Arabidopsis thaliana: one gene and its partner. The protein of the gene in region 1 interacts with the protein of each later gene in a pairwise test. Each region holds a gene or a part of one and is shown on either strand. Other genes may lie near its edges.

Region 1 (7,512 bases):
ACAAATAAGTGTTTGGAAGATATTGACAAGTTTATCCGGGAAAACCATTTTGATGAATGTGGCATCATTTATTGTCTTTCAAGAATGGACTGCGAAAAAGTCACGGAAGCATTGCGGGTTAGTCGTTTGTTGGCCTTTCTCGTATCTGTTTAAATGGAGGTTTTTACATATTGTGAGCGTACCACATTTGTTATGTTCCAATTTCAGGTGTTTGGCCATAAAGCGGCCTTCTACCATGGCAGTATGGATCCTGGTAAACGTGCCTTTGTACAGAAACAATGGAGCAAGGATGAAATCAATATAATATGTGCTACAGTGGCATTTGGAATGGGTAATTAATGGTCTCTGTTATAGCCACTTTGATTGATTGAAGTTTGCTGCCTGCTAACGTTGATATTTCAGGAATCAATAAGCCTGATGTTCGTTTTGTAATTCATCATTCTCTACCAAAGTCCATAGAAGGCTATCATCAGGTGTTTTATTTGAACACTGAATTATAAATATCCTAGTAAACTGATTTATAAATATCCTAGTAAACTGAAAAGATGTATTTTTTCTCATACAAGGAATGTGGTCGTGCTGGTAGAGACGGCCAGAGGTCATCATGTGTTTTGTATTACAGTTACACTGATTATGTAAGTTGCATAAATCACAATATCAAGTTACAACTCAGGGGGAATACCTACGCTCTTGGTCATGTTTGTGGTTAAAAAATACATCTTTTCAGATTCGAGTGAAGCATATGATTAGCCAAGGAGGACTTGGCCAAGGCCAGATGAAAATGGGATATAATTGCAAAGCAAGTTCAGGGAGGATGCTCGAAACGAACACGGAAAACCTTCTCCGCATGGTACCTATTGGCAAGATTCTCTGTGTTTGCTTTCAAAGTTCGAACTCTACTTGCTGAGATATATTTCCATATTTTGCTGCTTCAGGTTAGTTACTGTGAAAATGAGGTGGATTGTCGACGTTTCTTACAGCTAGTTCATTTGGGAGAAAAATTTGATTCGACAAACTGCAAAAACACATGTGATAATTGTTCCAGCAGCAAAATTTTGATTGACAAAGATGTAACTGTGATTGCAAGGCAACTGGTATAGGATTCATCTGAAGTTCATCATTACTTTACCTGCTGGATGTTGTACCAGTGACGTACCTCAATCTTTTGTGCCTGGATAGGTGGCACTGGTTAAGCTAACAGGAGAAAGATTTTCGTCAGCTCATATTGTAGAAATCTACAGGGGATCCTTAAACCAGTCGGTATGCACAACTAACACTTATATTTATTCTATTTCCAGAATCTGGTAACCATTTATGTCTCACAAAACATGTTTACTTTACTTCGCTGGTATCTTCAAGCCCATATCCTACCAGTGTCACTCACTTGCAAGTAATTGGCTTTTGATTAGGTCAAGAGAAACAGACAAGACACTTTGCACCTCCACGGAGCAGGAAAGCATTTAACTAAAAGTGAAGCCTCTCGTATTTTGCACTACCTTGTGACAGAGGATATTCTCGCAGAGGGTGTTAAAAAAAGTGAACTGTATGGATCTGTATCGTCATTGCTGAAGGTACAAATAATTCTTATATCGGTTTTTACTATATTTGATGTTGTAAAAGAGATCTTTGTGGATATGTATCATTGTTGCTGGGGGTTTGTTTCTGGTAACATATTGCTTTTTGCGCTTTTCTCTCTGGTTAATTTATGCTTAAGAATGAATGTGTGCGTGTACACAGGTGACATCTATTTATCTATCTTTTTGTATAGGTGAACAGATCAAAGGCCGCCTCGCTCTTATCTGGAGGCCAGAGTATAACAATGAGGTTTGACTTTACACTCGAGATATATCTTTCTTTTATGTTCACATAAACTACTTGCAACCAAATTGATGTCATTAGTAGCTCAAACGTTGGGAAATGTTCTGAAATCTACCTGTTCTTACTGCAATGTTATTGCTGCTCTTCAGTAGTTCTATATTCTTGAGCGAGCTAATAGAGTTGGTTATATGTTTATTCGTTTTGAAAAAGGTTAGTTTTAGCTAAGACTTGCATATCTCTTACAGATTTCCTTCGACCATAAAAGTGTCAAAGCAGAGCAAATCCACAGCAAATCCAGCAAAAGTTCCACTTAAGCAAACTACCCTTCCAATGGCAAAAGCTGCCCCACAAGATTCGGTATATCTTCTTGTATCCTTGTTTCTATCTATTGCTCAAAGATTAAAAACCACCACTCTAAATTGCTAAAGGCTGCTTATTTTTTCTCAATGTCGGTCTAGAATCTCTCCGGCATTTTGTTGACAGCCTTGAAAAATCTTCGGACTGATATTGTCAAAGAATCGCCAGATTTAGTCATGGCATATCATATATTCGGGTAAGTTGACGATCCATTTAATGATATTTTCAGTTTCTTTCTCAGATCATAAGTAATAGAAAAATCCTTGTGTGTTTATAGCAATGCGACGCTTAAAGAGATAAGTAAACGACTTCCCAGAACCAAAGAGGAACTCCTTGATATCAATGGTCTAGGAAAGTAAGTATCTTGAAGCTTTTTGAACGCTACTCTCTCTCTTTGTATAACCAAAGGTATGAAGAAAACTCGGGGGATTTTGGTGTTTTAAACTCTAAACAGAGCCAAGGTGAGCAAATACGGAGATCGGTTATTGGAAACCATAGATTCAACCATCAACGACCACTACAAAACCCGTCCCGGTTCAGGGAAGAGGAGAAGAGACGAGAACGTTAATCCGAATGTAGCAGAAGATGATGATCCCGATTGGAGTGCGAGTCAGTCTCACAAAAAGGTAGTGAAGAACAAAAAATAACACGTTCATAAACTTTAAAGGACCCAAACAAACTAAAAAATTAAGAAGCTATAGAAATCATTTACATTTGCAAAAATAGTAATTCAATACCATCTGTCAAGCAACATATTTGCCCATACCGGGGTGTGATTTAGGGTTAGGTTAAATAAACCTTTACACCTAATCCACCATGTCCCATGAACTATTGTTAATATGTCATATTCTGCAACTATTTATATACTCATGCAATTCAAATCATCCTTTCGGTATCACGTGTCAAATTTTCCTCATATTTAAATTTGTGTAATTGCAAAACCCTAGTTTCAATGGGTTATCTTATAATCTCAATTCACGACCCCTAAATGTCTCCACTGCGAACTATTTAATAACCTCTACCAAATATTAGTTTCAACGACTCCTCTGTCCATAATCGCATCTTAGCCACTCGACAAACAGAGGAAAGAGACGATATAGAGTGTCTCTTGTCGCGCAAGAAACCGTCTCTAAGGTTAGGGTTTTGGCATATGAGAGAATGTGAACATAAAAAAAGGAAAAACAAGTAGAAAAGAGTAGTACTCTTATGTATTTTACCAAAATAGTTCCAAAAAAAGGTAATCTTAGGAAACAACCCCTTTGCCAAAAAAAAACAAAAGGAAACAACCCATTATGGAAATTTTCTTAATAGAGAATGAATCAATAATGTAAAAAGTTGAGATATGGGAAGAGAGTACACTAGTATAAAGAGAGGACGATGAAAACAATCTCTGTCTTTCTGTGTAATTAGCTTTCTACAAGTTTCAAACAATCTCTGTCTGTAATTTGGCTTTCTTCCTTTGAAGTTTCAATATGGGAGGCACAAAAAGAAAGATAGAGATGAAGAGAATCGAAGATAAGAACGTGAGAGCAGTTGCTTTCACAAAACGCAAAAGCGGACTCTTCCACAAAGCTTCAGAGCTCTGTCTCCTCTCTCCGGGGACTCAAATCGCAATCTTAGCAACTCCTCTTTCTTCCCACTCCCATGCTTCTTTCTACTCTTTCGGTCATTCCTCTGTCGATCACGTTGTCTCCTCTCTCCTTCACAATCAGCATCCATCTCTTCCCACAAACCAAGATAACAGATCAGGGTTAGGGTTTTGGTGGGAAGACCAAGCCTTTGACAGATTGGAGAACGTCGACGAGTTGAAAGAGGCAGTCGATGCGGTTTCGAGGATGTTGAACAATGTGAGGCTACGATTAGATGATGCCGTGAAGAGCAATCAAAGAGATGGAAGTTTAGTGATTCATCAGGAGGATGAGGAGGTTCTTCAGCTTGGCTACAAAGACACAAATCAAATTACCAAACTCGAAGGTGAAACTTCCGCTTCTGCAAGTTTGTTAAAGAACGTAGTGGATAATCTACACATTGATGATCGTTATTACTGATTTCAACATTGATCCTTTGATTTAACCAACTTACTTAATCATCATGTCTTGTTTATTTAGGCTATTATCTAATCTAGCTGTGCATTATTATTTTTTGGATTTTTTCGGTGTTTTGGTTTGGGAAAAAAAAAAGCTACTAATATAAAACCAAAATTTTGTTCAGTTTGATTGAGACTGAAATACATTTAATTAAATAACAAAAGAAAGGTTCATTGTCGATTTTATTAGCAAACAAGTCAGTTGTCCAGCCTTTGGTATGAAGAAAGGTGGCGATTAGGTCTTTGTACCGTTTCTGATTCTTCTCGAACTCTGTTGGCTCTGTCTCGGCCTCGTGGTGGCTTGGTACAGTAGTGTGTAATTCCACTGGAGATAGAGAAAGAGGATTTGAGAAACTCATGTTGTGTTCTTTTGAAGATGAGTGCTGGTCTCTGTGTCCATGAAGCTAGTTTTCCCATATATTATTGCTGCTATAATCGTAACTAAACCTATCCATAAACTTATCCATTAGATCGCAGGGAATGTTTCATTCTAAGACATGTAACTATTCTTATCTCTAGAGATTTCATACCAAACAGAACAAACGAAAAGAATTATCTCTAGAGATTTCATACCAAAAAGAAAATGAAAGAAACATAAATTCCTCCTAATGAAACAAAATTGAAATATAAGATCCACTAAGTTCCTTATGCACACATATTATGCACTGGCCTTCTGTATTTAGAATCATCTCTCTTGTTATAAATTAAAAAAAAAAAAAAAACCAATAATCACCAACTCAAACTGCAAAATACAACAACAAAGAAAAAGACCAAGAAGATTAAATACATCATTTTTCGGTTTCTAAACAATGGCTGCACACAAAATGAGTCTTACTAGTCTTTTCTTTGTGTCAATAGTGATTGTATTATCATTGTTCAGCGGATTCGGAGAAGGAAGATACATAAAATATAGAGCTATTGCAAAAGATAGAGTTCCAGACTGCACTCAAGATCCCAAAAATTGTGTCAGAGTTCCAGTCAACCAGTACCATCTTCCTCCTGGTTGTCAAAACACTACACATTGTTATCGTGAAAAGTATCATATTTAATTATGTATTCATATATACAAATCATTTTCTACTAAATATGAAAAAAAATTTATCACTAATCTACATTATTGATGTGATATGGAACTTGTTACATTATCAAATTTTAATTATTTTAAAATTCTTTCATTTTTTTTAACTTCAAATTATTGTTATATATATTTTAATAAATTATAAATTAATGTGTTATCAGGCATAACTTCAAGTTCGTGTAACATGAGATGTGTCTTGTGAAAGCATGACATGTAACTTTCGTTGTAAAATAAAATAAAAAACAAATGAGCTCAGATATGAGGCTATATTATCCGATTCATCGGAGAATTGCTAAGGACCCAACCTTAGCTTAAAGCAAATTTCATCAACGCTCAAATGCACCAGCCGGGAATTGAACCCGGGTCTGTACCGTGGCAGGGTACTATTCTACCACTAGACCACTGGTGCTACTTGCCTACTATCTTACTTTTCTAATATAAATCCAGTATTTCACGTTTAGTGAGAGCAATTGCACATGTTCCAGCATTGCATTTAGAAACTGATGTGGTTTGGTCTTTTAGTTTTTAAAAGAACAATAATATAAACTGATGTGGTTTGGTTAGTGTTCAATGAAACCAAAAGCTACTATTACCAACACACACCTTAATTGATTGTGCCTGGACAAGTACTATTGCAGTCAGATTCTAGACAAATTTCTCCATTTAGTAGAGAGAGAACTAAACATGTAAAAAACTTAAAAATAAAAAAGAACCAAACTTGTTGCTAAGAGATCCAAACTAAAAGCTTAAGAAGAAGACGATAGATAGCTCAGTCTTCGTAGTCGCCTTGGGCATACTTGTCTTCGGGGTAATACACAGCCACTACTTGGTTTCCTCCAAATTTTCTTCCATTCATCCCCGATCTGGCCTTTGATGAGCCATCCACATCCGCATACTCTAAGAAAACCTGCATTAGTATTACCATTAGAGTATGCAATTTATATATGAATTTGGTAGACATTTGTATCTGAGGACTGAAATCTAACCTTCCCAACTCCTGGTGTTGGGTCATGATCTGGATTAGGCCTCGGAATCACAACATTCACTAAGTTACCTACACACACAACAATGATTTATCAAAGTTCATTTTAGACCATGAGCCTCAGTAATGTGCTATTGGTATAATGTCAGAACAGACAATAAGAAAATCTAATTGCTTACCGAATTTTCCACCTTCTTGTCGCATGTCCTCCATTATCTCTGCATATTCTTCATCGTCTCTAAGATCATCAGCTGTAACCACTTGAGTCAAACAGACAATCTTGGTGGGAGTACCTCCTGGTTGGAACATAAGCCTCTGCAACAAAGTTTGAGACAGATTTAGCATTACTGATCATTTAGATAGAGTGAATCAGAATCCTTTACCTGCAAAGCAATCTGTTGTTGGGCATAAAGTAAGACTTCTTCTTGCTCGGGTTTAGGTTGAATTGCACCCTGGATTGCACGCCTAACTGTAAGTGTCTTATCACCCATCTTAATCCCGTTTAGAGCGGCACATGCAATATCTGTTACTGACGGATCTTGGTAAACACAGAATGCATATCCCTTCGAATTTCCAGTCTCCCTGTCTTTGACCAAGTTGAAACCTCTTAGGGGCCCAAAAGACTCCAAGAGCTCCCTGATCTGTACCTCTGTGAAGTAATAGGGAAGTCCGCCCACAAAAATGCGGTCGGGACCCTCAAGCCCACCAGTAGACCCTGAAGACAATCCAACAGCCCCTAAGTTGAGGTTGGGATTAGGCTGGCTCGGACCAAGAGTTGCAGCAAGAGACGGGTTATAGTCAGTTGGCCTCCTCACCTTTACAGGAACTCCCTAGAGATGAAAAAAGCTATGATTTCAGATAGGTTTCAATACTCATAATACAGATTGTAACTAATAAACACCAAACATCTAAAGTGTAGAAGAGCTAATAAATCACCTCTAATATAATGCCGTCTAATGCCATTGCGTTACTAGCCTCCTCAACAGATCTCATCTCTACAAAAGCAAACTTCTTTTCGTGGTTTATATAAACATTGACCACCGCATCACCTATGAATTAATAATCCAAAAAAAGGATGAGATTTCGTATAGACTTGCGGCCAATATGACAAAAATATAATGAACTTTTCAATACCTGGCCCAGCAGTGTTTCCCCCAATGGCCGACATCACTTGGCTAAAGAACGTTGACA
Region 2 (8,002 bases), on another chromosome or scaffold:
TTTGTATGCTGTAGTGGTGACCATGTGTTCATGTGTTTCTTATAGTGCAAAGTTTTTTTAATCTTATATATTTGCTTTCTATTATTGTCAATAATTTGGGGAATAAAGTTAATGATTTCTGTTGGCCATCTATACAAATAGAATGTGTGTATATATACACATACAAGCAAATTGCATAGCTAAATTTCAAATATCGTTTATTATTTACAACAGTACTATACTTTACAAACTACTATAACTGTTTTATTTCAAGTATCAAAATGATATAGTAATTCATTTACAAAATACTATTATATATGGGCAGTTTTTTATAAATATAACATAAATCATATTCTTTATTTATTGTTTCAAATGATTATACTTTTGTGTAATTTATTCAAAACACAATTTTTTTTTTGTTGAATGCGAAAACACAATTATGGTTGACGTTGATCAACGAAAAAAAAAATGGGATTGCCTACTTAACTTGTAAATTTCGTGACAATGAAGAAGTTCCGGCTATTGTTTATTGTAACTAGTTTTAATTTGTCGAAATTTTCAACAATAATTAATACTCCATAGTAGATATAAAAAAAATACTCGTACGTGGGGATGAGGTCAACGAGAGTCGAGACTCATCATGGGAGAATAATAAGAGTCCACGCGGCGAATCCATCACTACAAGAACACTAACAACTATCGATTAAAATAATAATTTACATAACACAGAACCAGATAAGTTATTGGTATTATAACATTATTCATTCATTCGTGAGCTTTATACTTTTGCTTAGAGGGAATCAAGAACAGCTAAGACAACCAGCTTGCCACTTTCTCTGTCTCTTTCCAATGTTCTTTTGTTTTTGGCCAAAGAAATAGATCAATACATCACAAAATTCTACTCATTATTTTGGATGATCCGCAAAATATTACATTTTTTTGTAACTTGATAATCGAATTTTGAGAGGAACAAAAAATTTAAGCTATATTGCATAAAACTTGGAATTATTCTTCTTCCTTTTGTTTTGTCAACTAAAACTTGGATTATTCAATCAGGGTGATAACGTAATAATCCTTATAATCTTTAACAAAAAGTAATATAATCTTAGTAGCAAGAAGGAAACATAAAATGATAAATCTGACACCACACCATGTTATGTTTCTTGTTCTTGAGCAGTAACCATTAACCAACCACAATCTCAAAAACACAAACTGAAGTAAATTTAACGCGTCATACATGTCTCTCAATAATGATCGTCTTCGTCTGCATCTTCGGCTTATTGGGTATTACTAATAGGCCTTATTGCAAATAAATGGACTTTAAAAATTAATATTGGGCCGGGCCATAAAAACCTGGTGAAAGGATTGAGTTTTGAGACCAAATTAACCTTGTGGCGAACCAAATCAAATAAAAAACAAAATCGTACCAAATTCCCGGTTATTTTACGCGGTGGTGTTCCTCTCTCGACAGAATCGGAGGTCTTCCGGCGATAAGGTTCGTGGGTTTTGCGTATCGTTTGTTGGGTACTCGCTGGGATTGTTGTTGCTGTTGTAGAATTGGATAATAGTGGGGAGTGCTGGAGCAATGTGATATCGACTTTCTTGATAAAACACAAGGGCTAGTTTAATTGCAGATATTCAATCAGCTCAATCTTTATCTTCTTCCTCATACCATTACTCAGAAACTACACAGAGATTCTTCTTCTGCAAAAAGTCTAGAGGCTTCACGAACTCAGATCCACTCTCCATCTCCTTGTATATATTAGTTGATTCAGACAAGAAGGATACTAAGTTGCAAGAATTAAGGTTTTAAGATTATAATTTGTTTCATGCAAGTTTTTGTGAAAGATTTTTTATGGAAGTTCATATATATATGTCAATACTAACTGAAAAAAGTATCAACTTAAAAGTAAAAACAAAATCTCCACAAATGGATTTGTTTTCTTAACAAAAAAAAAAAACAAATGGATTTGTTTTGCAGTTATAATGACACTATAAAATATTAAAAAAAACAGTAACAGAAGAAATCGGAAGCAGAAACAGCTTCAATCTCTCTCCGATCCGCTTGCTACTTAACTATTGACTGACTCTTAATGAAGCTTCAAAAAAACAAATTCTTTTGGACAGATTTTGTTATCAGAGAAGTCTTGAGTTGCCAGGAAAACAATAACTGCTAGGAATGTTGTGGAGAGGTGGCAGAGAAGATGTCTGTAGCAGACTGCTCGCATCATAGCTTGAAAACATGTCTTGAGAGAAGCTAATGTTACCGACCGCATTACCATAAGGGTTCTGGTTGAAATCAGAAGAGAATTCATGTGGAACCGTGTTTGAGAGATTAGGATGTTGTAGACCGTTGTTGTTGTTGATGATTTCACTCACCATACACATGTTCTGATCAAAACCATGAAGCTGATCCTGTTGCTGCATCAAGTGATTATTCAACCCGTAGTTATTCACTGCAGATGCTTGTACCGAAAGTAACGGTGAGTAGTCTTGTGTGTTTGACACGCCAGGATGTTCAAAGTTGTTGTTGGTGATGTTGTCCGAACACATGTTCTGACCAAAACCATGCTGCATCAAGTGATTCTGGTAATTGATGAGTTGATTGGAGTGTGGAGCAGACAGTGGGAGTTGTGAGAGAGTAGCATCTCCATGGTTGTACATAAACAGCGAGAACTTGCTAGGATTCAAGTGTTGGGTCTGGTTCAGATACGATGGTGTTAAACTCTGATGCACCAAGTTTGTGTTCTGTAGTTTCTGCGCCTCAACAATACGAAGCCTTTCTTGCAGAGTAGAAAGAGTCCGTTCTAAGGACTGAATCAATTGAGAGAGTTGTTGAGGAGAGTAATGATCAAAGTTTGGATACCAATTCTTCTTCAAATTCGTCTTCCCCTTGTCCTTGTCCTTCTCCTTCTCGAGGAACTCATGAAGATTGCGGCTCTTCTTGCGTTTTCTGGCCTCTTTATACCTCAAAGCCATGTCTTTCACTGTCTCTCTCTCCTTAGGCCATGTTCTCAGTTCACCGTCTGGTCCGTAATAGATGACGCAAACCTCAATAGCACAGAGAATCGAAAGCTCTTCAGCTTTCTTGAAGATGGTTTTAAGTCTATTTGTTAAACTTGTTGAATTACGTGACGAAGAAGAAGAAGAAGCTTGCTTCATCGTGACTTTGCCTTGATTCGGCAAGAAACTAGGGTTTTTTCCGAGAGAGAGAACACACGAAGAAGAAGTATTGTCGAATTGAGGGTGAAACATTGTGAACTCAATATGTTTATATAGATGCCTTGGTGCCTACGGGAACAAGCAAACGCGACGCGTCGTTGTTAATCGCGAGGCGTGAAGATCTACGCTCCTACGATTCGATTCGATTTCCAATATCTAATGTAGATTTCCTTAATTAATGTCTCGATGGTAGAGACCAAAAAAAAAGGAAACTTTTAATTAGTTTCTCGATGGTACTTTATTTTAGGCTGTACAAAATTAAGATCTAATTAAAAAAATACTATAGATTTGATTGTGTAATTATTAATTGTGCAACAAAAACTTGGAGGAAAAAGGAAAATCTGTCTCTAAGAAAAAAACTCTTAATTGTTAATTAAGGGTTTTCAAAAAATTGAAGAAAGATTTCAACTCATTTTATTTCTAGGTTTCTTCTATCTTTTTTTTTTTCTTTTTTTTTCAAATTTTTTTTTACGTTATAGTTGTTAATTAAGGGTTTTCAAAAATCTATAAATTGTTTCTCCAATCAGAATGTTGTGAAAAATAACTAACATAAAAACACTCTTCAAATAATTAAAACTAAATGTTCGAAGGGTATATATATACTCACTCTGTTTATTGCAAAATTACCACTGTAAACGCATCACAATTCATATTGTGGAAGATTAATTCTTGTTATATATGTATTAGCTAGTCAAGAAAATACACAATAATTGGGAATGTGGAAGTCGACAAATGTAGTAACCAGCTTGCCTTATTATAGACACAACAATATATATAATAGGGTACAATTAATGTCAGATTGATAACGACGATCCAATAGTGAACCACAAATCACGAATTTTCAACTCACAAATAGACTCGTTTCTTTGTTAGATGAAATGTACCAATCATATAAAACGACATTGTGATTGGCAATCACAAAGAAATATAAATTGTTTATGCCTCATTAAATATATTACTTGAATGGTAAAGTATTAAGATTTGTTTTGCGATCATGAAAGTTAACATTCTTATTTGTTGTGTATATCTCTGAACGTTCTTATTGGATTATGTTATGTGGGATCTGTTGCTGAAGTATCCCTTTAGATTCATTTCATAATCCAATTTTCTTTATTTGATAGTATATTTGATTGCAGTCAATAAATAAATAAACTCCCTATAGATTGTTTTCCATCAATTGTAAGAGTTTTTATTTCTATTTGTAACTGAGGTTTTGAGCAAAAAGTCCATGGTATAAAAAATACCCCTTAGTCAAACATGAGAGATTTCATGACGATATATAAAGCGTAAAATCGGGTAAAATATAAAGTTATAAACTAATTGTTGATCTTAGTATTAAGAATTTATTGCATTCGTTTCTTAATTTATTGCGTAAAATCGGGTTAAAATTAATCAAATGGTTGATCTCTTCAGAGCTAGGGCTTCATTTCTTACATAAACGTCGTGAAAATTTGATTATTAAAGTCCTCCAAAGATTAATAAATTAAAACAAACCAACAAGACCCCATTATAAATACACGCATAAACATTACTTTGTGTAAAAGATAACGTAGCCATTAACTTTTATGCATTAACTCCTTCATTTCTTTTTGTGCTCGTTTGGTTGAGAGAGAGAGAGGCTATATATGATGTTCCAACAAGATTACCCTCATGGCTTTTCACTCGTGGAAACATCCTTAAGTTACGAAATGTTGGATTACTTTCAAAACATCGTCGTTTCGAACTCTGAAGACGTGGCGTCACAGCAAAATTCCATTTCGTCCTCTTCTTATTCATCAGCGACACTCTCCTGCTCCATAACAGAGCAAAAATCTCACTTAACTGAAAAGTTATCTCCTCTACGAGAAAGATATGGTTGCGGTGACTTTCTGTCGCGGAAGAGGAGAAGGAGAAGTGAAAAAACGATTGTAGATAAAGAGAATCAAAGGATGAATCACATTGCCGTCGAGCGTAACCGGAGAAAACAGATGAATCATTTTCTGTCTATCCTCAAGTCTATGATGCCTCTCTCTTATTCTCAACCTGTGAGTTTCTTTCTATCTTTAATTTAGCTTATAGGATATAAGCAGGCTAAGCAATGTTGATAATTTGATATGTTCGGTTAAAATTTAGTTTAGACAAAGAGTGTTAAGGTTCCTTATTAAAAGTAAGCCGTTAATTAAATAATAGTAATTTAGTATATTTGTTTTTGAATCAATTACTAAATAAAATTGCGAATTGATAAATTTTTGGGTTTTTCCTATAATAGAATGACCAAGCATCAATCATAGAAGGGACCATTAGCTATCTGAAGAAGCTAGAACAACGTCTCCAATCTCTCGAAGCCCAATTAAAAGCTACTAAACTCAATCAATCACCAAATATATTTTCCGACTTCTTCATGTTCCCTCAATACTCCACCGCCACTGCCACTGCCACCGCCACTGCCTCCTCATCCTCCTCGAGCCACCACCATCACAAGCGACTAGAGGTGGTTGCTGACGTGGAGGTTACAATGGTAGAAAGACATGCCAACATTAAAGTGTTAACGAAGACACAGCCAAGATTGCTCTTCAAGATTATCAATGAGTTTAACTCTTTAGGTTTAAGTACTCTTCATCTCAACCTCACAACTTCCAAAGACATGTCTCTCTTCACTTTTAGCGTCAAGGTAATCTATTCTCTTCCTCTCTTGTTTTAGGGGAAAAAGATAATATATATGATTATAGAAGTTGTTAGTTAACATAAATTTATATGAAATAACTAAAATAAGGCTTCTTGTTTTAAAAGTCAACTATATATGCTCAAAATGATTGGTCTCTGTATTAGGTAGAGGCAGATTGTCAATTGACGCCTTCTGGTAATGAGGTCGCAAATACGGTGCATGAAGTCGTTAGAAGAGTTCACAAGGAACGTTGAATTTTGTTTACATACTAGCTAACTTTGAAATTCTATTTTATTGTATAAACAATCTCTTATGTGTGTAATTTACATATATACAATTAATTAACATTAAAGTTGTTTAGTTTTTTTTTTTTTTTTGTTGGTTTACTGAGTTAATAACATTGTGTTGACGTCTATTAAATTGAGGATATAAAATACAAGCATGATGAATTGATGAGTATATGTAATCAGTTGAGTTTTAAAAAAATATTTGTGTATTCTTTTATACACTAGTAAAATTTGGTTATATTCAAGAAACATCAGATATTTAATATTATGGAAGAGCTAATTTTAAGCGCAATATAATAAGATTCACACGATGGGCCTTCTCATTACAAGAAATGGGCCTTTGAAACATATCTCGTATTTAGATCAGTAAAACCGGACGCGGATGCGATTCAATTTTGCATAACCGGATCATTGTTCCTCGAGATTACTGAAAGCTCGTGTAGATTACGAAATACGAACGAGCCTCGTCTACAATTAAACGCTAGTATCGGTGACCGAAACATCTGAAAAAGCATGCCTTCATTGAGCGGCCCAACTTACAAAATTTCTCTAGTTTACATTATTCGGATGGGGTAAATGTCATTTTGAAATCAAAATTTCATAAGAAATCATGTAGCATAATAGTTTGATAAAAGTTTATGGTAGTGTTGTTGATGTGTGATATTATGGTTTAAATTTGACACATGTTTTTGAGTAATAATATTTGGTGGATTTTTAAAAAGCATTGGATAAAGGTGTTTGGTAATGTGACCTTTTTACCTGTTTAGCTACATATTTAAATAGATATTTTATATAAGGGGTGGTAAATTTCAGATTTTTGGTTTTTCGAAAATTATGTAACTGATCATTCATGTCGTGTGATCAATGTTTCTAGAAGACAAAAAAGAACATCAAGAATCTAGTGGAATTAGTTGCTTTCATAGGATAACCAGCTCATCAACCAAACTCTGTTTGTAAGATTATATAATTCTCAATTTAAAAGAAACACCAAACCTATTTTAGTTTATATTTTTCTATTCTAAGATTTTAGATGGGTACATACGAAATCATCATATTAGTTGTCACAATACAAATGACTAATCTTTACTAATATATACACATTTAACAAAAAGTCCCAACTCCAAATACCTTTTTTCTTTACTAATCCCACCTTGCTTTTATGCTCTTTCTTTTGTCAATTAAATATATATATATATATATATTATATTTTATTTTATTTTCTCAAAATGACTGTTAGATGTTTTCTCTGTATAATTGTATTGTTTGATTCAGAAACACTTAAAAGTATATATTATTTGTATAATTTTAATTTTTGTTATTAACTACAAAGTAAAACAGTTGGTAAAAAGGTTAGTGAGTAATTCAAACTGTGAAAAAGAAAGTCGATTTACTTGTAGAATTACAAAGTAATTGAACTTTTTTTTAATGTTTCTTATCTATTGTCAATATATCTATAAAAATACTACTGCCAGACTAAAATAATACATTTTGTAGTAAATGGGCAAGATCGTTACAGAGACAGACAGACAGCTATCTCATCAAAGCTTTGTCTCCTTTCCCATTACCCAATTTTAAAAATATTTTGCAGCGTGTGAATATCCTTTGTACACCACATACTCTTTTCACATATATAATATTAAATTACACTAAAATTTGTGTACAACTATTACCTATATGTATATATATGTCAGCATGCAGCAGCTAACGAAGCAAAAAACATGTATTAATCCGACTGTCTATATATGTAAGTAACTTGCGTTTAGAAAAAGAAAAATATGTATTAGGGACTTGCATTGCGTTTCTTAATCAGAATGTAATAAGTTAATAACAATGCTGAAACACATTGACACTAATTTTAAAAAATCTTTTC

What was found. Proteins that work in one complex are often made in the same cells at the same time.
Region 2: the proteins of AGL55 (region 1) and AGL78 interact in a two-hybrid assay, tested with the Arabidopsis thaliana proteins (one large-scale study listed by BioGRID).

The regions. Positions count from the first base shown.
Region 1 is NC_003070.9:22,426,403-22,433,914, reverse strand, and holds AGL55 (AGAMOUS-like 55), read left to right. Parts: upstream 1-3,553; 5' UTR 3,554-3,647; coding exon 3,648-4,223; downstream 4,224-7,512. Other genes in the region: AT1G60913 (Rapid alkalinization factor (RALF) family protein), read left to right, coding at 5,071-5,310; AT1G60900 (U2 snRNP auxilliary factor, large subunit, splicing factor), read right to left, coding at 6,109-6,246, 6,326-6,393, 6,501-6,636, 6,705-7,151, 7,258-7,370, 7,456-7,512.
Region 2 is NC_003076.8:26,105,465-26,113,466, reverse strand, and holds AGL78 (AGAMOUS-like 78), read right to left. Parts: upstream 3,142-8,002; coding exon 2,116-3,141; 3' UTR 2,064-2,115; downstream 1-2,063. Other genes in the region: AT5G65320 (basic helix-loop-helix (bHLH) DNA-binding superfamily protein), read left to right, coding at 4,827-5,225, 5,450-5,851, 6,010-6,099.